Linked DNA regions of Arabidopsis thaliana. The protein of the gene in region 1 interacts with the protein of each later gene in a pairwise test. Each region holds a gene or a part of one and is shown on either strand. Other genes may lie near its edges.

Region 1 (8,397 bases):
ACTGTTTGAAATTCGAATCCATTTCTCTTCGGACTTGTGTGATAACTGATTTCCTCCTACAATGGAGTTCCCGCCAAGAGCGTTTTATCCACGGAGATTCCAGGCCTCTCCGGCGCAATACACGGCGGAGGAAAGTGCTGCAGCAGTATCGGCGCCAGATCTCCGAGATAAGCTCGCGACACTGGTCGATCGCACCAAGAAAGTGAAAATGGCGTACCATCAACTCCAATCGCAGATCGCGTTCGGCCTTGTCGAAGTAAAGATAAATGCTCTTCTCTAGTTTGTTAGATTCGATTTCTAAGTAGATCTAAGCTTGATTCAAACGAATTTGAGAGAGGTAATCCTATTATCTGGTTTGGTAGATTCGAGCTTGATTTGAACGATTCCGAGTGTTGCGTACTCTTTAAATTGGTAGTTTCAAGCTTAATTTGAACAATTGTGGGTGTTGCAACGAATTTGATAGAGAATTTGATAATTTAAAGGCAGGTGAAGTTTTCGATTCTCTGGCGATCCCTTTGATGAAGTTGGTTGGGCTGAAAACGTCGGAGATGGAGAGTGAAGGGAGACACTCCGCCTTTATTTTCAATACTGTGAGTGATATCAATCATCTTCTTGTAGAATCATGAAATTGCAAATTTTCAGATCATTACTCTAATTTTCATCAGGAAAGGTATCATCATATGGATACTGCACGGTCTGGTGATCTGAACATTCAAATTCGCAGTTCAAAGGTAGTATAGTAGTATACATCATGATTCTTATAACATATGTATGCCTAGTTATAATGAAGACTGAACGTGAACCAATTGATATGATTCTGAAACTGTTATGTGTCTAGGCAAGTGTCATTCTGATGATTCTGTATATGTGTATCCCTTGTTCTACTATAGATGTGATGCGAAAAAAGCAATATGATTCTGAAATTGTAACGGGTCTTGTCAAGCTTCACTTTGGTGATTGCCTATTTAGTATGACTAATTTTACTAGATATTGAATGTGAAACCAAACAATGTGATCCTGAAACTGTAAAGCGTCTAGTCAAGTTTTAGTTTGGTGATTCCTTATACATGTATACCTAATTCTGGTATAGAGTGAATGCAGACTAATAAATATGATCATGAAACTGTGATGTGCCTAGTCAAGTTTCATTCTGGTGATTCGTTATTAATGTTTGGCTAGTTCTGCTATAGATTAATGAGAACCAATAGGGAATATAGTTTAGATGCTGTCTTCTCTACACTTTCTGTTTCAAATTTTAATCAATTGCATCACAAAGCTGTTTGGAAAACCATTTGTACCTTCATGTGGGTTTGGAGCTTGCAGTTAAATATATAATTCTGCCTACTTTGAGTGGATTTCTTCCTCAGAAGTTCATTTGAAGTATCATGATTTTGTAGGAAGAAAACTATGCTGCTAAAGCCGAAACAGCGGGGAAAGAGATCTTGCACAAGCATAAGGGGCAGCTGAGACAGTTAGTTCATATGCTTAAGCACATTGAAACACAGGTGAATTCACATCGGGAAGATATTCTGCAGATGGTTGACGATCGTAGAACCTTCTTCCAAGAATTCATCCAGAAGTCTCTTTATTACCTAAGCTCGGTTCACAGCCAAAACCATGACACTTTCCCTGTCACAGTGAAGCTCCTTCGCGTACTATTTAATAACATCAACGAGGTGCTTGGTTCAGTAGATACTGGAGTCAATGATTTTATGCAGGCTTTAGCAAAGAATATGTGTCACCCGATGACCAAGTACGTAGGCAACTTGGCTGCTGAAATAAAGCATGGCCCTTGTGTGCAACTGATGAATGTAGTGAATGAGATGGAGAGATCAAACTCAGATACAAGGAGAGAGCTACAAGATGCTAGAGAAAGGATTAGACTTGCAGAAGAGACAAAGATCAACGCTTTATCAAAGCTGAAAAAAGCTGAAGATCAAGTTCAGAGGATGACAACATCTGCCAAATTTCTTCTACCCGCGAGTCAGAAGAAACAAGCTGAACATTCTATTACCGGCAAGGTAAAATTTCGATAATGAGTTTTGTTTGTGAAAGCTCAAATGATTAAGTAAGCGCTAAAAGGGTTTTTGTTTCATCCTTTTGTCCATGTAGCGTATAGGCACAGAGGGAAGCCGAGAACACGAAGAGAAACTACTTTGGGAACTACTGAGCAAAAGGAGAAAGCAACAAGAGCCAGAGAGTCCAATGGGACCTAAAGAACTCATCAGACAATCAGACACAAAGCAGAAGACATTGGTGTACAATCGCCGAAGGACTAGGAGCCAAGCACTGTTAAGTTCTCAAACCGCACGCCCTGATGCTTTGATCCCACTTGGTTTGTCACCGTCTGCTAGAACAGTAACCTGGAGGTAAGTAAACTAAAGCACACGTCTCACTCATTGCATCAGAATCTATCTTCACTACGCTTTGAAAAACAATGAGATCCAGTAGCTTCTTTAACACTTAAGCACCTTAAATAAAATACTCGTTTATCTTGTCATTAGTTACACTTTAATAAGTCTTGGTAATTTCTTGAGATGGTGTTTCAACAGTCAGAAACAAAACGTCTTTGTTAGAGTTGCACCGAAACCTTTGTTTTGTATAACTATGGACCCTAGCTAATCCTGGTGACTATAATGATTAACCAACTTAACTTCTAATAAACACAATGATACATACAAACATTATATTTCTAACTACATTGCATAAATCGAACCATCTAATCTGTTATGTTACTGGATACATTGTATCAACCTATGCAAGAGTTTTCGAATGAAAAGTTGGGATGATCAAAGTTTAATTAATCTTCAAAAAATAAATAGTGGGGCCAAAATAGAATTTCTTGAAAAACTTGGGGGTTGTACTTCAATACCCACGTTTTATAAATAGTGGGCTTAACTTTTTACATGTAGGCCCAAATCATCTTCCGACGTCGGTTAGGGTTCTTGTTGATGATATCACCTGAAACTCTGAGTTTCTCTCTCCGCCTCCGTCATAGAACGCAGAACTGGGTGGATCACCGTGGTCGTCAAATTCCTAGCTCCTCGACTCCAAAAAAAAATCATAAACGTATTACCGTCTCTTGTTTTCCTCGTAAGGTTCTCAAAATCGATTATCTTCATTACACTCGACTTGTCTCTGTTTCGAATCCTACGTCGTGTTTTTCTTTTCAGTATTCGGTTACGAGAAATCTTAAACCGTACTTACATTTCAGGTATTATATCGGTCGAAGTCTCCAATCATCGGTCTGAGTAATCTCTGACAATGGTATGTGTAATTTCCCGACCGATTGTTTCTCTAGTTTCAAAGTCCACACTTTTTTTCTGATTAGAGCCAATTTTATTGAAATTTCTTAGAAGCTCATAAAAATTTACAAGTGAAATCATCACTAAAATATTGAGAACTGTTGCTTCTCCATGACCTTGGTTATTTGTAGAGATCCTTAAGTTGAGCTGGTTTTTGATTGAATATTGTTGCATAGGAAATTTTCTTTTTTATTAGTGTATCTTTCAACAAGAAATTGTTCTCAGTGATTGATTAACGTGTATTGAAATTTCTTGAGCATTTGTGTGCAAGGCTGCAAGAGTTTTGGCAAGTGTGATTGTGATGGGCTCTGGAATCATAGCCAGGGCTTGTACTCAGGCATATCGTCAGGCGCTTGCAAGTATGTCTTTTAATTACAATGTTCTTGTTTTCTTTCTGGGCAAGAATGAATTTATCAAAGATTCGTTGTATTGTGTGTGTGTAAGTGTAAGTTACTTTGCGAAATTGTTGATAAACATTGTTTGGAATGGTTTACAGATGCATCAAAAACCGGGGTTGCGCATGAAGCGACACAGACTATTAAGAGAGGGTTGACTATAGGTGAAGCAGAAGCTAGACAGATTCTTGGTGTAACTGAGAAATCATCTTGGGACGAGATTCTTAAGGTTTGTCTTCACACTTCACCCCGGGCTGGCTGTGCAAACGCGAATAGCGGTTTATAGTTTCTAGTTTCTACTGCTGATTGAAAAAAGAGACCCTTATTCTCATTGAGATTATATGTTATGTTTGTAGAAATACGACACGTTGTTCGAACGCAATGCGCAGAATGGAAGCTTCTATCTCCAATCTAAGGTCCATAGAGCTAAGGAATGCTTAGAGACTGCATACCAGAAGAGTACAACAACAAGCGCATGAACAAGCAATAAAACAATAGGAGCAAATCAGGAACATATCTTTTGATACAAGTTATAGTTTTAGGACAGAAGTTTGAAATTGAGTGGAGATAGCCGCAAAAGTTGAAATTGAGACAAGGTCGGTGATGGCCGGAATGCTGCCAGTAACCGACTCACCGGCGTTGTTAAAAGTCTTGTTATTTTGTTTAATAATATTGACTTTTCTAGTTCTTAGGTAAACTAGTTGAATTCTAGCATGTCTATTGAATTATCTGAGTTTGAAAAATCCGTCTACTTCATTTTAATTACCAAATATATTGATCACCAACAAAATCGTAGATAAAACGAACACGTTCCTATTAGTCTACGAAAAAATAGGACTTGCAATTTTTTTTTTTTTTTTTTTTTTTTCATAATTATACATCTTTAGTTATACTTTTTACGATTTTAGTCATGTAGATTCAAATACACTTTGGATTTAGTGGAATACTTCTGTATTTTATTTGATAGTCAACTAAATTGATAGAGTTGCACTAGCTAGTAGCTACTAAACCAAGTGGTGTCTGACTTTGAAGTCCAAGTCCAAGACTTCAAGTGGGTTTAAGAGCGTTTAGCAAAGTTGAATCGATGTCTATTACACGTCTAAGCCGATCCAAACGAGAATGAAGCTTTTTATATATTTTATGTCGAATTGTCGACCGCCGAATTTCGTGATCCACACACTACAATTAATGCTGATTTAGAAAGACTTTTAAAGTCAACTAAATATTACACTATCGATGGTATGAAAGTAGACTACATTAGTATTGCGTTAAAGACTGGTCAAACATCAACGGAACGTAGTTTTCTTTATGGTATTTAATTGCACCATAATCGATACTCTATATTTGCAATCTGTATAATGTATATCAACTATCTAATGCATTTTATCGTGCGTTGAAGTTCGAATCGGTGATGTTATGTTGTCATGTATGTAGGAGCCAAAAACCTCCAAGATATTAACCAAAAAAACAAGAAAACACGTTCAATAAATCTTAACGCGGAAGACAAAAATGACACTCAAAAACATTCAGGAAGCATATGATCATCTCAATTTTGACGGGAAATGTATCATTACTTCATCACAAGTAACTGATCAAATCTCCTAATTAATATCCCGAATGAGGAGAGGAAGAAGAATCCCCAAAGCGCCAGAATCTGGCATAATCTTGCTCTTCTTGTTGCCTAGAAGAGCCACCAGAAGACGAAGAAGTTGTAGCAGCAGTCGTAGTACTATTATCATGAGACATTGAATATCCGGTACCACTCCCATACCCACCGCCCAAATTAAAACTTAGCATATCACCACTACTCGCATCATGATAGTATTGATTATAGTTCGGTATACTTTGTGGTTCCATTTGTGGAATTTGGTTGGAGGAGTAATATGTAGAGTTACTTCCAAGCTGAACCCTCTCCGGGAAATTGAGTTTTGCTTTGCTTCCTTTGAACTTTAGGGCTGCTTCATCATAAGCTAAGGCCGCAGATTCAGCGGTTTCAAATGTCCCGAGCCACACACGTGCCGCCTTTTTTGGGTCTCGGATTTCAGCTGCCCACTTTCCCCATGGCCTTTGCCTTACACCTCTATAATGTCTCCTCCTCAAGTCCCCTTTATTGAAATCACAAAAGTTGAAATCAGAAAATCTTTGGTATGGTCTACTCATACATGTGCATAGTATGTAAACTTTGTATATGCTCATAGTTTATGTGTATAAATATATATCGTCACCTAATATTGGTGCTGAAACCATATACTACCAACAAAATCTCCATGTTAAAAATTACATTTTGGTAATAGCCTAATCGTTTTTTCTTTTGGTAAATGAGTATTGAAATAAACAGTATAATAATAACCTTTTAAGTTTGAGATTTACTTCTGATATGAAATTTGCACATAATTTCAATATATCCTAACATTGTTTCAACCAAAAAAGATTCAAAGATCGATATGAGCATGTATATATATACCTTGGTCTTGATGAGTAGGCGCAACTTGTTGATTAGGGTCTTGTGGATTATACACAGAAGGATAGTTATCATCAATAGAGCTGATGTTATCATGAGATTTGCTTTGTTGGTTTCCGATTACTTGAGTCAAGGCCGAGACCATAACACGCATGTCGTGTTGAGATCGGGCCGAGAAGACCGGGAACAAGTTCTCATCTTCTTCCCTTTCTTCAGATTCATCACCTCCAAAAGGCCTCTTCCCATACATCCGAGGATCTACTTTTGCTTGATTTTCTTTTAAATATAGCCTTTTCTTCCAAAAAAAAAATTTGATATAGGATTTATACAGTACTTTAGGGTTGTTCAGTTTTTCTTTATGGCATCGTTGAACATCAAGAACAAGAGGATGATAAGGAGAAGAAATTAGATTGAAGTAAATGAAGAAAGAGAGAGTAAAGTATTTTTTTGGGGGGGTTTAGCAATTTTCTGAGGCTTTTATAGAGGAATTCGTTCTACGTGTGAACATATGACCTAAAACAAATATGTTTTAAGTTTGATTTTTTTTTTTTTTTTCACATTCTTTCGTATTTAATAATTTCTTATATGTGTTTGTTTCTGTTATCGTATTTAAAAAATATGCTTGTACGACCAGTACGGATCAATGTTTTGTAATGAAGGCATGTATAATGAGAATGTTTGTTAAACTTTTCTTATTGAGGAAAGTGCATGTGTATTTAAATATCAAAAGAGAGGATATTTTATAAAGATTACTATAAAATACTACACGAGATGGGAAAACTAAACATGCAAAAGTGAAAAGAATAAAATAAAGAAGAGAGGAAAATTGCGCATGCATGTTCATGTTTTGTTTAATCATTTATTTTGTGTGAAAAGGGTTTAACACATTCATGGAATTGAGGGAAAGATATAGACTAATAGTGTTTTTTGTCTAAATTATAATTTAAACTATAAAAAGCACTGTCGTGGTCTTAGTTGTATATGTAATTTAAACCGACACATTGTTTTTTTCGTCAAAAATCGACCTGCATTCTCAAGAAAAAGGTATTAAGAAAATCTATAATATAATGTAAACCGACACCCTTGTTGTGGATCCAAACGTGAATTAAAAAGGAAATATGAGTTTGCGTACGTAAGAAGTGAACCTATTAATTTATTTAAAGACTGGTTGACTAAAATTTGCAACACAAAAGACGTTTTAAAAACCTCTAAATCCAAGTATCGTGTACACACTCGAATTGAGTTAAACAAAGTGATTATTGTTCTATGTCGTAGTATGATGAAATTGATTAAATGGTTAGTGTTACATTTTGTAGAAATTGTTTAAATTGCAAGTGTTAGGGTTGTGTACACGTTTCTACGTCCGAAAGGAGGTATTTAATTTTTACTCAATGGAGCTCTTGCCTATCTACATATTATAGGCTTGTATGTAAAAAATTTGACATTTGAAAAATTATTCACTCAAAAAAGTCAAGAGCTAACTAAGTTGACAGGTAAAGAAATTATGTACAATGTGTGACAAGTACGGATATAATAATGTAAGACTTGTAAATGTAATCCACAGCCAGTTTGACTAACTTGATCGATCATGTGTGTACTGCGTTGGTGTTAGGTTCAACTACCACTTCCCTAACCAGCTGTTTATTTATGTTTATGATCAAAATTTCTCTAAACTGTAGCTTTACTGTTAAATGTATTTGGTCTTCACTTTGGACACCCTCATCTAAATCTTAGATCACATGTGATACCTAACTATTCATTTATTTGACGGAAAATTTATAGTGTGATCAATAGCCATTTGTTCACGTTTTCAACATTTTGATAACATAATTTTATTATTTTCAATTATCCGCAAATAATGCAATATTCATTAAGAAAAAAAAATCATTGTTTTAGTTTTTAAGAAATGATTCTGATATATATGATACACATGTTTAAAAATATATTAAATTAACAAAATAACAACTATAAAAAAAAAATCTACAAAAAATTGTTTTTGGGAATTCTATGGTTATTATCAGTCTCTTACATAATTGATATAACAGTCTTTACCTTTTACTTTTTGGACACTTTCTCCATATGTCAAATCATTAGTTGAAAATGCAAAACAATATTCATCTGTAACTTGAATGTTTTTTTTTTTGTTGGACGTTCACTATTCTCTATCAATAGAAGAAATTAAGCTGCACAAAACAGATATCTTCAAATTCCAAGTATTGATGTAAAAGAAATCAAG
Region 2 (7,292 bases), on another chromosome or scaffold:
ATTTCCAAAGTATGATATTTAGTAAATTAAATTCTGAATTCCTGATAGAAGGGGGAAAGTCTTCACCCGATTGATGTTCGAGTTTTTGGAGAAAATATAATCAAACTTAGCTGAGTTAGAAACTCGTTATAATACATGTTCTTTACTTGGTTTAAAAAAAGCCACGAATTGATAAATCAATACTTTTTAACTAACGTACATAAAATTAATGAGAACTGAGAGTTCAAGACTAGCTAGATTTTTTTTTTCATTTTATATACAGCGAACTCATTGCTTACACTTTCAAAACTATAAAAACAAAATTTAAAGGTGCTGTAGAGAATAGAATCGCTATGTAAGTATAAACTTTAAGGATGGCATTAATATCTTATATACATCTGGCTCGTGGTATTTTGATTGATGAGAAAAGAAAGCAAAAAAAACAAAAGAACATAAATATAGAAGTTAAATTAGCATACTGATTGATGGGTACGGTATCCCTAAATCATCACAATTTTTTGCCCATATTATTTATTGTTAAAGAGGGTATGATATTTAGTCTCACGACCTTTACTTTTTGTTTGATGTTTTTTTTTCTAGATATAAAGAGCCAGCATTTTATTCACCAGTTGTTGGATTTCCCTAAAAGAGATACCCTTTCGTGATCGCATGAGAGCAGACTGGGGAGATACATATATGGAGTAGGGGCGTAGGCTGAAGAAGCAATAGCTAGCCACAATAAAAAGAAGAACAATAACAGCTACAAGATCATCAAGGGATCAATTATGAACCGAAACCAAATTGATATTCTTTAGTGCCTCCGAACCTCACATATCTACTGCATCCTTACGAGATATTTTGGTCGTTGGGAAAAAAAAAAAATATATATATGTTTTGATCAGTTTACGTGTTTGTCGGAACAATTTAGAACTGCTTTTATTCCATGTTTGGTAAATATATAAACTCTTATGGATACCAAGAACTTAACTTAGTTTTCTCTAATGAGTTCTCTAACATTGAATTCCACGCGACAGTAACTGGACGTCTGAATTCATTAATACATATATAATCTTTAATTAATGTGAGAGAAATGTGTTCATGATCTAGACGAGTAGCGACAGCGTCATAAGAACTTAGGTACAGTCACATATTTATAGACTTGGATGACGTGTAGTTCTCTCTCTTTATGGCTTAAAATTAAATTATATATCACATGAAACACCTCTCACTTTTCTGTTTTGGGGGCAAATAAAACATATCTCACTTATTTTCGAAGTATCTTGATAGTTCCACACATTCCGTTTTCGATCGATAGAAAAAAATTGGACCAGTTTATGATTAAAATACCGCACACAAAAGACTTCACGTACGTTTTTGCTTTTAAGCATTAGAAATACGGGCAAAAGACGCGAAAGTAAGTTAGATAGATTCGGGAGGAGTACTGTGATTGGATAAGGTATTGACCAAGTACCGATGATCCGACCGCCTCCACGTGGTCACACAGCTTGGCTTTCACTTTCATGCTCTGACCTTTTGACCGCACGTGACTTTTGTCTGTGCACGTGCGGACCAAGCTAACGTGTCCGGTTCAAGTACATTGCACCGAGCCCTGACTCGCCAGGTTACGCCGATGAAAACGACGGTTCCTGGGTCCCACATGCCATGAGGATGGACGGTTCCGATCCACTTCCTACTTTCCTACTGAGATTGGTCCCACCATGGTTCAGGCCACATGCGTCCACGTTGAGGGAGCTTAGGTGTTACTATATGGGTGCAGTTAAAAATTAAGACAACCAGTCACGGTCCGATATGAGGTCATGCATTAATGGGTCGGATCGAGTTTAGTCAGTTCAATAAATTAAGATGAATAAGTCAATAATTATTTGAATGGGTTGATGCAATTGGTAAGTGTTTTCAGGATTATCGTTTGTTTCCCAAACAATTTTTGTAAATTAAAAGTTTGATATCATTTGTATGAAGATGATATATCAAAAAAAAATTTTACTAATACATTACTCATTCTAAATCAATAAATTATCAGTGTCTAGTTGTCTTTTTCTGGTATATTTTTTTGTCCATGTTAGAAAAAGCGTAGTTCTAATTAGTGATTCACCAAATTCGACATAAGGCAACAAAGTGGAGTACTTATCAATAATTTTTGAAAATATAAAGTAGTAGTATCAACTAATTTGACATTTTGATAATTATCAGCTAGTCTTATCACATTAATGGATCATTAACTTTCTCCAAACTTATCATCAAAAAGGGTCCACTCCGTTTTACGATATTTAAAGGAGTATACATGGGTAGATCTCACTATCTCAGTATAGAACAAAGGACCATTACCTAGATTGATTGTTCTACGTTATGCGCCTTATGCCCTCTTGACAATAAAAGTGAATATAAAGTACTTTAGTAGAACATTGATTCTTTGATATATAATTAGCTCGGGTTTAGCAAGATAATTTAGTAGCAACCAAAAAAAAAAAAAAACACATCACAAGCAGAATTAATCAATTGTTGTTCTGCAGCGCTTAAAAGTGACTAATTCTCTTCTTCTTTTTCTATAGTAAAGATGGTTCGTATCCGTTTGTTTATTATAGAACGTGGGTTCTTCTTAGAATATTGTATTCGCAAGCCATATACTATATATCTATTTTAAATTATTATACATTATATTTTTACAAAATTAGTTGACAAAACTAATAATAATACTATACATGTAAATTTTTTTTCTTTTCTTCTTCTATATAACTCACGTTCTGCATCCAGTTTGAATATGAATAATAACATATATCAGCAGCACTATGCAAATCACAAGCCTACAAATATCTAGTAATAATGCAAGTTTATACTAAGTTTTACAATAAAAAGATGCGTAAGTAAATTAAAATTCTAAATAAAATGACCTATAGTAGTATTTTCTCAAGTAAGAGAAGACTAAATAGTACTATTTCTCATTTTTACTTATACGAAAACCTTTTAATTAAGTTACTAAAACCATAAATAAGTTAGTAACATGATAATAACATTTATCAAATAACTTTTGTTTAAACATAACCTCCACGCGCCTTAAAGGGAATGTAGGATTCGTTTTAATCCTTGTGTACCCAACTTCCACTTGACATTTTTTTTTTTTTTTTTTTTTTGTTAAATGATACGTTTTCTTTAGCTCGTATATAATAGTATCTGATAAACAAATTGACCAAATGTTATCTCTTCTGTTAATCTTATCTCATGCTTTCAAATATAAGAATTCCTTCTCTAAATTTCTTTTGTATTATCCGATTGGAGCCAAACAAAAACTGCGACGAACCCCTAGTTTTCTTTGGTAGATCTTATGTAAGGATAACCACTTACACACATAAATTTTTTTGTCGGCATTTGTGTATATGTAATAAATAGTATTAATTTACTTAAAAAAGAACATATTATTCAAATAATAATTATTATATTAATGATATAATAAAGGGGACTGTTTCTCCGCTAAATTCTCGGTGTATGTCTTTGCTTTTACTTTCCTCGTTCAATGAGAGGACCAAAAATTTATTGCAGAGTCGCACATGAATCTCAAGCTTCTCTCTCCTTTTTTTCCCATAGCACATCAGAATCGCTAAATACGACTCCTATGCAAAGAAGAAGCTACTTCTTTCTCTTGCCCTAATTAATCTACCTAACTAGGGTTTCCTCTTACCTTTCATGAGAGAGATCATTTAACATAAGTCACCTTTTTTATATCTTTTGCTTCGTCTTTAATTTAGTTCTGTTCTTGGTCTGTTTCTATATTTTGTCGGCTTGCGTAACCGATCACACCTTAATGCTTTAGCTATTGTTTCCTCAAAATCATGAGTTTTGACTTCTCGATCTGAGTTTTCTTTTTCTCTCTTTACGCTCTTCTTCACCTAGCTACCAATATATGAACGAGCAGGATCAAGAATCGAGAAATTGATTTGAGCTGGCGAATAAGCAGTGGTGGGATAGGGAATTAGTAGATGCGGCGGCGATGGAAGGCGGTTACGAGCAAGGCGGTGGAGCTTCTAGATACTTCCATAACCTCTTTAGACCGGAGATTCACCACCAACAGCTTCAACCGCAGGGCGGGATCAATCTTATCGACCAGCATCATCATCAGCACCAGCAACATCAACAACAACAACAACCGTCGGATGATTCAAGAGAATCTGACCATTCAAACAAAGATCATCATCAACAGGGTCGACCCGATTCAGACCCGAATACATCAAGCTCAGCACCGGGAAAACGTCCACGTGGACGTCCACCAGGATCTAAGAACAAAGCCAAGCCACCGATCATAGTAACTCGTGATAGCCCCAACGCGCTTAGATCTCACGTTCTTGAAGTATCTCCTGGAGCTGACATAGTTGAGAGTGTTTCCACGTACGCTAGGAGGAGAGGGAGAGGCGTCTCCGTTTTAGGAGGAAACGGCACCGTATCTAACGTCACTCTCCGTCAGCCAGTCACTCCTGGAAATGGCGGTGGTGTGTCCGGAGGAGGAGGAGTTGTGACTTTACATGGAAGGTTTGAGATTCTTTCGCTAACGGGGACTGTTTTGCCACCTCCTGCACCGCCTGGTGCCGGTGGTTTGTCTATATTTTTAGCCGGAGGGCAAGGTCAGGTGGTCGGAGGAAGCGTTGTGGCTCCCCTTATTGCATCAGCTCCGGTTATACTAATGGCGGCTTCGTTCTCAAATGCGGTTTTCGAGAGACTACCGATTGAGGAGGAGGAAGAAGAAGGTGGTGGTGGCGGAGGAGGAGGAGGAGGAGGGCCACCGCAGATGCAACAAGCTCCATCAGCATCTCCGCCGTCTGGAGTGACCGGTCAGGGACAGTTAGGAGGTAATGTGGGTGGTTATGGGTTTTCTGGTGATCCTCATTTGCTTGGATGGGGAGCTGGAACACCTTCAAGACCACCTTTTTAATTGAATTTTAATGTCCGGAAATTTATGTGTTTTTATCATCTTGTGGAGTCGTCTTTCCTTTGGGATATTTGGTGTTTAATGTTTAGTTGATATGCATATTTTGGTTTCTCGTGTTTATTTCTTTTCTTCTCATATCTTCGGTAGATGTTACATGTTAGAGAAATGCATGTGTCTCGTTATGTTAGAAAATTCCTTTCCATATATGGCTTTCTTTTATTCATAGCTAGGGTTTCGTGTTGTACCCTATAACTATTATTATAATTAGCTCGATTTGATAGATATATAGGTCTAGACTATTCAATAATGAGTTCGTTTGTTCTTTTAAGAATTTTGAGCTTCACGGCGTATTCTTGATGAAATATTATGTGGGCACATCTCAGGCGCTCATTTGAATATTTTTACAATACGTCAATACGTTACCTTAATCATAGTATAATATAGTTCTTTCAACTTTTTAACAACCTCAATGTAGTATTCATTATAAGGTTAGAAAATTATTATACATATTGATCAATATATACGTTTTGTGCATCTAAATTCATTATTCGTACCATTTGAGTACTTGTAGCGTCTTTTAGCCGAGTATACCTTTTAAGATCACAACTTCTGTGTCATATCTATCTATCTATACGGTGTTATTGTGTTAAGAGTACTGTCATATATACCCATCTATATATAAGGTGTTAAGAATATGCTTACATATTGATCAAAACGTGCATCGTTCTAAATTTTGTAGTTAACCACTTGCCTGATTAGAACGTCTTTTTAGCCGTTTGTACTTACAGTTGAAAATTCCATTGATTGGTGTAATTGGCTATTTAATTACGACAGGGCCGTCTAAGCGATCTCGAGTCTTACCATCTAGGAAAACAACATGGGCAATTTTTAAACTATTTAGCGTTCATACAGTTTCTAGTGTTTTAAAAATACTACATGTATACCTAGTGGCCATGTTATGACCTTTTTCATTCGATCACTACAGTTACTTAATTACATGCATAAAATATGCATTAATGCTTCAGTTAATTAACCGTCGATCCTGTAAAATAGTTGTATCCAACATTATTCAAAGACAGGTTGGCAACAAGTACGTAGCTTTAAGCTAATATTTATAGGTCACATATGCACAGTACCATTTATGTTATAATCGTAGTTTTTGGTTTGAGATTTCCAACCCCTTAATTTTGGCTGGTATGGAGAATTTGTCTCAACTCTCAACCAACACTTCAAATACATATTCTGCTCTTTCTCAATCTATATATATTTCTGTCCCAACAATTTAAATATATATATGGAATATGGTTTTATACCGGTTTATATATTACTATTTTCGTGTTTCTTCGTCACTACAAAATATGAGTTTTTATATATATATATATATATATTGATAAAAAGAACGAGTAAATGATATTGGGGATACTTGTCTAACTAGAGAGATAAAGAGTGAAATTCTATATTCTGCTAAAACTAATCATATTCGTTAAATAGAATGGAATCATTATCTAACATCCCACTGAAAAGTAAACAAATTCATTCATAGAAGAATATGCTTCTGCTATTATGCAAAATATATAACGAGGGGATTACTTTTATTTATTTCATATCTCATACTACATCTTTATTATTTTCCATTTATTCATCTAATCTTTAACCATTTTTAGAGCATAGTATTGTTTTTTGGGATTTTAGTCAATGTATATTGGTTAAAGACAACCGTTACAGAGCACAGTAGAAACATGAAGTAGAGATTATCTCACGTACGTCGGTTACATACAAATTAGTGAACTTAACATGGTAAGATTAACAATGAACATAAATCATTTGTAGTGTCAGTTAAGAGCTAGTCTCTGTCACAACATAACAAAAAATGGGGTTTTGATTACCAAGATATGTGAAAAAGAGGAATGTTCCAATTCCCTAGGGACATATTTATTGACTAGGAACAAAAGGAAGCTTAAGCAAGTAGTAATATTTTTTTATTTTTCATGAGAAAGTTTTAAAGTTATTTAAATGATACCAACATACTAAAACGAATTATAGTTAACTACTTTCAGGTAGCTTTGTTACGCCTATTCAGCTATAGGTGCAATATGGGCATATGGCAATACATAGTTGGGGTTGTAAAGCTACTAAAATTTTGATGAATATGTTATAACTTAGATGTATGATTATTATTGATTGAATTAGTTCTAACTATTTTAGGATGATTTGTTTTTTTTTTACAACTGATATCATGGAACAAATTGCAGATTAATTTCACAAGTCACAATCTACAGTTCTTAGCTAAATATTATAGTGATCAGATGTCTCTTAGTAAAAAACGTTTTAGCTTTGCCAAAATATATAAAATATAAATTAGAATCAATACATATAC
Region 3 (7,690 bases), 7.6 Mb from region 1:
CACCGTCCTCTTCTCCTCTCTCTTGATTATTCTTTCTTTTTTTCTTTTTTGTTGCTTTTGGTTTAACTTCTCTGACTTTTTTTTTTTGTTTATGATATTTTCTCTTTTTAATCAATGGAAAGTAGACAACTCATTCTTAGATATTTATAAATAATTTTATAGATTGCCTTTTTTAAGACGGCATTTTAGGATTATTTATTGGGACGATTCACTTTTCTTATTAGAATAATTGTACCACATGCAATGAGGATTAACGATGATTATGAAAATAGAAATAAATTGACTATTACATGTCTCTTTTGGAAGAGTGTTTTTTTTTTCCCGAGACATTTTTTGTTTTATGAACTGATTTATATGATTTTATTTTTATCATTTAGCTAGTTAGGGTGGAATTAATATGTGATTATTTCATGTATTATGTGAATTTCTAATTTATCAAATTATTCTTCTTTTCATCATATGTAAATATATTATTTATAGTGTTATATTATATTTACCATGTCAAAATATTCATTCACGTGAATATTAAATAATGAGATTGTAAACGTAAAGTTTAATAAACTTTTGCGCTAAATTCTACCTAAAAATAAATTTTGAATACTTATAAATAGGTATATTCAATTTTTCTGTTTAAGAGAAATGGTAAAATATTAAAGTGGAGACATAATCTTAGGGAATTGAAAAGTAAAAAAAAAGCTTACAGTTTAGTTTTAAGATAGATCTATGATTTTCAAGAAAGGTTATACAAATGATCAGTTTGGATCAATATACTCTACCATGTAAGATTCTATGAATTATAAATTACCCATTTAACCATTTTAACTTATCCAAATAATAAAAAATACTTAAATACTCAGTAATCTTAAGAAACAGGAAAACTCCTTCAATTTTAGTTTAAGATAGATATACATCTTTTCAAGAAAGGTTACACCAATGATGAGTTTGAATAAAAATAATTTACTCTACCTTGTAAGAGAAGGGTGAGTAATTATGTGAATATACAAATTAATAAATTGTAAATATGTCTTCTATCGTAGTGCTTATTGATTGTTGTAACTCTTTGCAAAATATTTATTTAAGACTTTTAATTATATGAAATAATTTAAATTTTAGAAAATTGTATTTCTTTTTTATAAATTTTTATCTATACATTTTCAGTTAAGGTTTTGTTTTTCTCCTTAAGTTTTACTTTTGCTCTAATTTTCCTATCACAACTCTTCGTTATAGATGGTTGTGTACAAATTACAATTAAGTATTTTAAGAATGCGTATCTTTATCTTAACTCTTCTTAAATAAATTTTTATTTTATAATATTTTAAAAATTGTATATATTTATTATTAATTTTTTGTTCGATATTTTTTTTATAAAATTATGTCCAGTCTTTTTTTGGTAAGTGACCGGGAGACAATTGCCTCCCGTGATTTATTAAGAAACTAAAGAAAAGTTACAAACGAACTCGCCTTAGTTGAGTAGACCCAAGAGTATCCTCCTTCAACAAAGATGACATCGCATCGGGAACAAAATCAAAAGAATGAAAGCCTAAAGATAACAAAATTGTATAGTTTGCTAATCCGTCCGCAAGACAATTAGCTTCTCTATACACGTAAACAATTCGGACCAACCAGTCTTTCTGTAGAAAGTTGTGGCACAACCGCACCAGGAATGACAGCGGATGAGAGTCACTAATCCCTGTTTTGAGGAAACCCACTATCGCCTCTGAATCCACCTCCAACTCCACTCGAGGCACCTTCTTCTCCCATGCGAAATACAATCCGTAATACACTCCCCATAGCTCTGCATGTTGAGCTGAGCATCGGCCTATATTTAGAGAAAAGCCACCACACCAAGCTCCTTCACAATCCCGTAGTACTCCGCCTGCAGAAGCCAGCCCCGGATTTCCACGAGACGCCCCATCTGTGTTTACTTTCACCCAACCCACACATGGAAGCACCCAACCAATCAGCCGTTCAACTCTAGGTTGCGTACTTCCAACCAAAGCGTTACCCAAATGTGCTCTATACACTTCCACAACCCACTCTTTAACAAATTTCACACGGTCCCTGCATTTCGTGTTCTCCCCAAATATATTACTGCATCTCCACTTCCACCCCCACCATATTATCACCGCAAAAATGGTGGACCACGGTATATCCTCACAGCTACTCCTATCACACAAGTTATCATAGAGCCATTCAAACAGAGATTTCGAAAAGAACCCCTGCTGCCTCCTTCGCGGCACAAATCTGACCCAAATCCCCAATTGAGCTGGACAGTCTCTAAACACGTGAAGCACAGATTCAACTCCACCTATATAAACCTGAGACACATTCGAGGCGCTAAGATGTCTTCGATGCCGTTCCTCATCTGTCATAACTATGTCCAGTTTGGTTATATATACTTTCTGTTTATACTTATATTTATATATATTTTTCCTAAATATAACTATTACTTTTGATTATTTGTTAAACATGTCCATGGATTTAACTCAATCTCAATAAATGCTTCTTAGTCTTGTGTCTCTTTATCATAATTTGTTGTTGAATAAATTTTTTATTTACCATTGTAAAAAAAAAACTGAAAATTTGCGTAAAATCATTGTAACTCTTCTTTTCTTTTCTTTTTGACTTTTTGTCAAACGTTTTCTTAATCATTATAACTCTTCATTCGATATGTTTTCAATTAGGATCACATCTTTCACTATGATGTTGTTCTACTGCTAATATAGTCTCGTTAAATGCTTTTGAGGGTTACGTCCATTTACCATATTCTTCGTAAATGTATCTTATATTAGTTATGGTTAAAAACATATTTTCAAGGTTGTCTCAATCTATTAGAGTCATGTCTCTGTGTCATAAACTTTGATTTCACCTTTAGCAGATAATTTTAATCTTATGTTTTTATATTTTTTCATAGTATTTTATAATATACATCATTTTGAGTTCAAATTCTTTAGTAAATTTTATAAAAATTTAAAATATTTTATCGTGCAACACCACCTATAAAAAACCTATAGTCCACCCTTTTTATCTTCTTTTCCTTAGTTATTGTATCATTAACAAAAACTCCAAAAAAAAAAACAAGAAAATATGTAAACCAAAAGCCAAACATCAGTTAAAGTTACAAATTAAAGCCATTCATGGTCTAAATTTCTAAAAAGAGAACCACCCGCTAACCTATTATCAAGTCAAAAGGATAGTTTTCCATGAATTCATTTGTGTGGTGCGATTTTGATTCAGTAGATTAATTACCATGAAATACATCATATCAATTTACTAATTTTATAAATATTATCTTTGGATAGTTACCGACGTTCAAATCTACATAATGCAATAATGCATGTTGTTTACAACAGCATTGTGTAATTTTTATTAATAATCTAATCATTTTAAAATTTTATTATTTAATTAAATTAATTTAAATATAAATAAATACTTATGAAAAATATCTATACAAAAATGTAAAAAAATATATTTAAAATTATCAACTCATCTAGATCTTTCTTATATTTAAAAAGTTAACTTTCAATTACTAGATAGATACACTAAGTGAGAAAGGTAAAATAAATTATTTGCTCCTTATATAGTGTTTTTTATTTATACAAATTGTTGTTTTATTAGATCCCTTTTATTCTAGATTTTTCTTACTTCATTTGGATAATGTGCTTAACTCAGCTTAGATTTATTATTTTATTTTATTTTGGGTTAATTGCCATACATTAGTTTTCTTATATATTCAATTACTCTTTTGGTTCACTGAAACTTATGAGAAACTTTTAATCCAAAAAAAAAAAAAACTTATGAGAAACAAAATGAATATTTTTCTTGATCATTTCTCTCTCCCTCTGTTTTAAAATTTCTCCTTTCCTCTGTTTTGCATGATTTTTAACCTCAAAAGCTCTTACATTTCAACAACTGTTTTCTAAGGCCACTAATCACTCGGATTTGTGTCAGGTGAAATGGATAGTTACTGGAGACTTAAAAACTTGGTGAATGATTTGCCAGTTAGTACTTCTTTAAGCCGACAAGGATCAATATACTCATGGACAGTAGATCAGTTTCAGACCAGCTTAGGGTTAGATTGTGGATCAATGAACATGGATGAGTTGGTTAAGCATATATCAAGTGCTGAAGAAACACAAGAGGGGTCGCAGAGGCAAGGCTCAACTACTCTGCCTCCAACACTTAGCAAACAAAATGTTGGTGAAGTTTGGAAATCTATCACAGAGGAAAAACACACCAATAACAATGGAGGAGTAACAAACATTACTCATCTTCAGGGACAACAAACCTTAGGGGAAATCACTCTTGAAGAGTTTTTCATCCGTGCTGGAGCAAGAGGAGGTAATACCAATGGTGGCTCCATTCATGACTCATCGTCATCGATTTCCGGTAATCCACACACTAGTTTGGGTGTTCAGATTCAGCCAAAAGCCATGGTTTCTGATTTTATGAACAATATGGTTCCAAGGAGTCATGATTCTTATTTGCATCAAAATGTGAATGGATCTATGTCAACATATCAACCACAACAATCTATCATGTCTATGCCAAATGGTTATTCTTATGGAAAACAAATCCGATTCTCAAATGGTTCCTTGGGATCTGGTAACCAAAGTCTCCAAGATACGAAGAGAAGCTTGGTCCCAAGTGTTGCGACAATTCCAAGTGAAGCCATAACATGTTCACCGGTTACCCCATTTCCAACATTAAATGGGAAACAAAAGATTAACGGTGAGTCTTCATTACTCTCACCATCTCCATACATTAGTAATGGTAGTACTAGTACAAGAGGTGGGAAGATTAATAGTGAAATTACCGCGGAAAAACAATTCGTTGACAAAAAGCTTAGGAGAAAGATTAAGAACCGAGAATCCGCAGCGAGATCACGGGCTCGAAAGCAAGTAAGAAAATGTTATATATATATATATATATTATCTATCCATCTTGATTGATTGTGTTTTATAAGTACCAAACTGCTCATTTTTGCTCTCTAGGCTCAAACTATGGAGGTTGAAGTTGAACTTGAAAACTTAAAGAAAGATTATGAAGAGCTACTAAAACAACATGTAGAGTTGCGGAAAAGACAAATGGAACCAGTAATCTATTTATTCCAATCTTATTTCCTCAACCGTACATCAATTAAAAACTTGAGAACCTTGTTCTAACTTTTTGTATATCTAAATAATACGTGAAGGGAATGATTAGCCTTCATGAACGACCGGAGAGAAAGCTGAGGAGAACGAAATCGGACATCAAGTGAATCAATGAAACCCGAGTTGGAGGATGATGATGAGTTTATTTTGTTCATCATGTTTTGTTTTCGTATATTTTTGACCAAATAAGCTATTTATTAGACATCTTATTCTTAAACCCATTTGATAATGTCCTAAAGATCGAATTCTCATGGTCTAGGGGAAAATCCAAAACTTATTTTTATTGGAGCCAGAAAATACTACTATTAAATATTATTATTTTGGCTTTAGAAAACAATGTCATACTAATCTCAACCATAAAACTATAAAATTATATTATAGGCTCAATAATTGCTGCTAAATTTTTTCACTATTGATTCATTTGCAATATACAAAAATAACTCCTATAATAAATCAAAAAAATTCAGTGTTGATTCATTTGCAACAAAACACGAAAAATTTCACTGTCTTTTGTGGTTGGCTTTGTTCTTCCTGGGACATGGGAGTGAATTTAGCAAATCGTGGTTCCTCTTAGGTCTTCGTTCATGCCTTTGATTTTGCTTTGTCTTTTTGATATGTAAAAATTTACGTTTGACAGTTTTCCTGTAATTTAGGGATTCGCTTCCTTCTTTTGGATTAAGTTTTTGGGATGTATTTATTTTCCGCCCGCTCTTGTAATTCAAACTTGCATATTTCCTTGGTAATTGTACTTAAATAAGATGACAAAAAAACTAAAAGTTAAAGTAAATCAAACTATATAATCACTTGAAAGTTATAAACTAATATCCAATTTGATTTGGTTTTGTTTTCTTCACTACCTCCAATTGCAGGAACAACATTTGTCAATGATTGCAGTAGCAACCTGTAATAACGGTTGTCTACGAGTTGATTCCTTTTTTTTTCTCCAAAACCTGTGACGAGCCCTTTTTCACTTTTCTAGTTTCCAAGCTACCCGCTAGGCTTTAATGCTTAAATCGAGACCAAAACAGAGCAGGCTAAAACGGATTGGACTTGAAACATTGCCAGGTTTAAAACAGACCAGGTCCTCACCCAACAAGTAGGCTGTTTCAATAACGGTTTATACGATAAAAAAATGTTACATGCAAAAACTTTTGCTTGTACCACCAGAGAAAGATAATATAGAGAAGTGAGTGGCGATGTAATCTCTAGCATGGATAACCCGATGCACATCCTCTGCCCTTCCATGAGATCATTTTCCGGTGATCTCTGCCTCTGAATGATCTCACAAGAAGCTTACCGTCAACAGGCTTGCACAAACCGACATCAACCACAGTTGTGGCTGTTCCTCTTTTGGAATCTGGAGATGGGTCATCCACGTAATAGTCGAACAACATTGCTAAGCATCTGATTTGATGAGATAGGAGATAGTTTTCTTGATCTGAAGGAATAATCTTCAACATATGAAGGTTCACCTGATACCGCCACGAAAAGGTTACAAAGGCGTTATCTTTGGTGTCATCGAGTAAAGATTAGTATATGTTACTGGGTTTGACACTTACTTCTGCTTCCATTGCTCGAAGTTCATTGTAATGGTCACTTTCATTTGTCCCATTTTCATTTCCTGATGAAGAAGATGCGTGGAGAGACAGAGAAAACAAAGGAGGTCGAAGAGGATACTCCATGCTAATTTGTACCTGCCAATACAACTCGATTTAACACTTAAGAAAGAAAAAGATATAGGGAAGATACCGTATTAGAAGATAGTGTTTTAGAAGTTACCATTGCTTCTAACTTCCACAACTTTCCGCCATCTGTTTTCCTGGAGAACACAAGCGCAAACTCTCTCGAACCATAATCCACCCATGAATTATCAGCTTTCTCAGGGCATAACTCTTCCACATGCGCCTCAGTTCTTCCGGTTGGCTCATCTATTTCACTATCATCGTCCAGAACAAGATCCAAATCATCTTCGTATTTCTTGAAACTTGGGGACTTTCCTTTGCTAATCGGAGAATCTAGATTCTTTGTCATCAAGGCCAACTGCCTTGACCGTGCTTGATTAGATACTTTCGATGGGGTATGATTGGAACTGGTTAACGAAGCAGCCGCCGTGACCAAAGAGGGAAGTTCTCCATCTTCCCGTATACTTTCAAAATCTTCTTTTCCAGAAATAGATCTTCCATCTACATCGATTTCCATAGGTTCTGGAACTTGTTCCACACTGTTCAGAGTCAGAGAGCATGACTTACTAGCTGAAGATTGTATATGTAACCAGGAATCCAAAGCACAGAGAACCTTATGCAGTGCCCAAGGAGCATCTTCGCAGTTCACCACTGGTAACTCATGTTTCATAAGCAAATCAAGCTGTTCCCTGTAGCCAGTAGAAGTTTCCAAAGTATTCAGCAAAAATAAACATATCAACAGAAATAATTACCTATAGAAGCTCTTATCACGAAGTTGACAATGCTACAGAGGGATTAAATTGACCGCCAAGTTATTGACAAACCCAAACTATTAAATGTACAAACCATATGCTG

Evidence for each region. The genes of interacting proteins can lie anywhere in the genome.
Region 2: the proteins of AT5G61890 (region 1) and ESC interact in a two-hybrid assay, tested with the Arabidopsis thaliana proteins (one large-scale study listed by BioGRID).
Region 3: the proteins of AT5G61890 (region 1) and AT5G42910 interact in a two-hybrid assay, tested with the Arabidopsis thaliana proteins (one large-scale study listed by BioGRID).

The regions. Positions count from the first base shown.
Region 1 is NC_003076.8:24,847,334-24,855,730, forward strand, and holds AT5G61890 (Integrase-type DNA-binding superfamily protein), read right to left. Parts: upstream 6,609-8,397; 5' UTR 6,412-6,608; coding exon 6,165-6,411; intron 5,806-6,164; coding exon 5,306-5,805; 3' UTR 4,989-5,305; downstream 1-4,988. Other genes in the region: AT5G61865 (uncharacterized protein), read left to right, coding at 62-256, 483-590, 666-731, 1,398-2,021, 2,113-2,373; AT5G61880 (Protein Transporter, Pam16), read left to right, coding at 3,265-3,267, 3,577-3,664, 3,802-3,929, 4,057-4,179. UniProt on the Arabidopsis thaliana protein: Transcriptional regulator of cell proliferation and axillary bud outgrowth. Involved in maintaining the structure of the shoot apical meristem as well as plastochron and phyllotaxy.
Region 2 is NC_003070.9:7,269,042-7,276,333, forward strand, and holds ESC (Putative AT-hook DNA-binding family protein), read left to right. Parts: upstream 1-3,514; 5' UTR 3,515-3,982; coding exon 3,983-4,918; 3' UTR 4,919-5,031; downstream 5,032-7,292.
Region 3 is NC_003076.8:17,199,952-17,207,641, forward strand, and holds AT5G42910 (Basic-leucine zipper (bZIP) transcription factor family protein), read left to right. Parts: upstream 1-3,790; 5' UTR 3,791-3,956; coding exon 3,957-4,901; intron 4,902-4,994; coding exon 4,995-5,096; intron 5,097-5,194; coding exon 5,195-5,260; 3' UTR 5,261-5,429; downstream 5,430-7,690. Other genes in the region: AT5G42905 (Polynucleotidyl transferase, ribonuclease H-like superfamily protein), read right to left, coding at 1,463-1,490, 1,624-2,372; THO5 (THO complex, subunit 5), read right to left, coding at 6,359-6,625, 6,713-6,847, 6,933-7,524. UniProt on the Arabidopsis thaliana protein: Could participate in abscisic acid-regulated gene expression.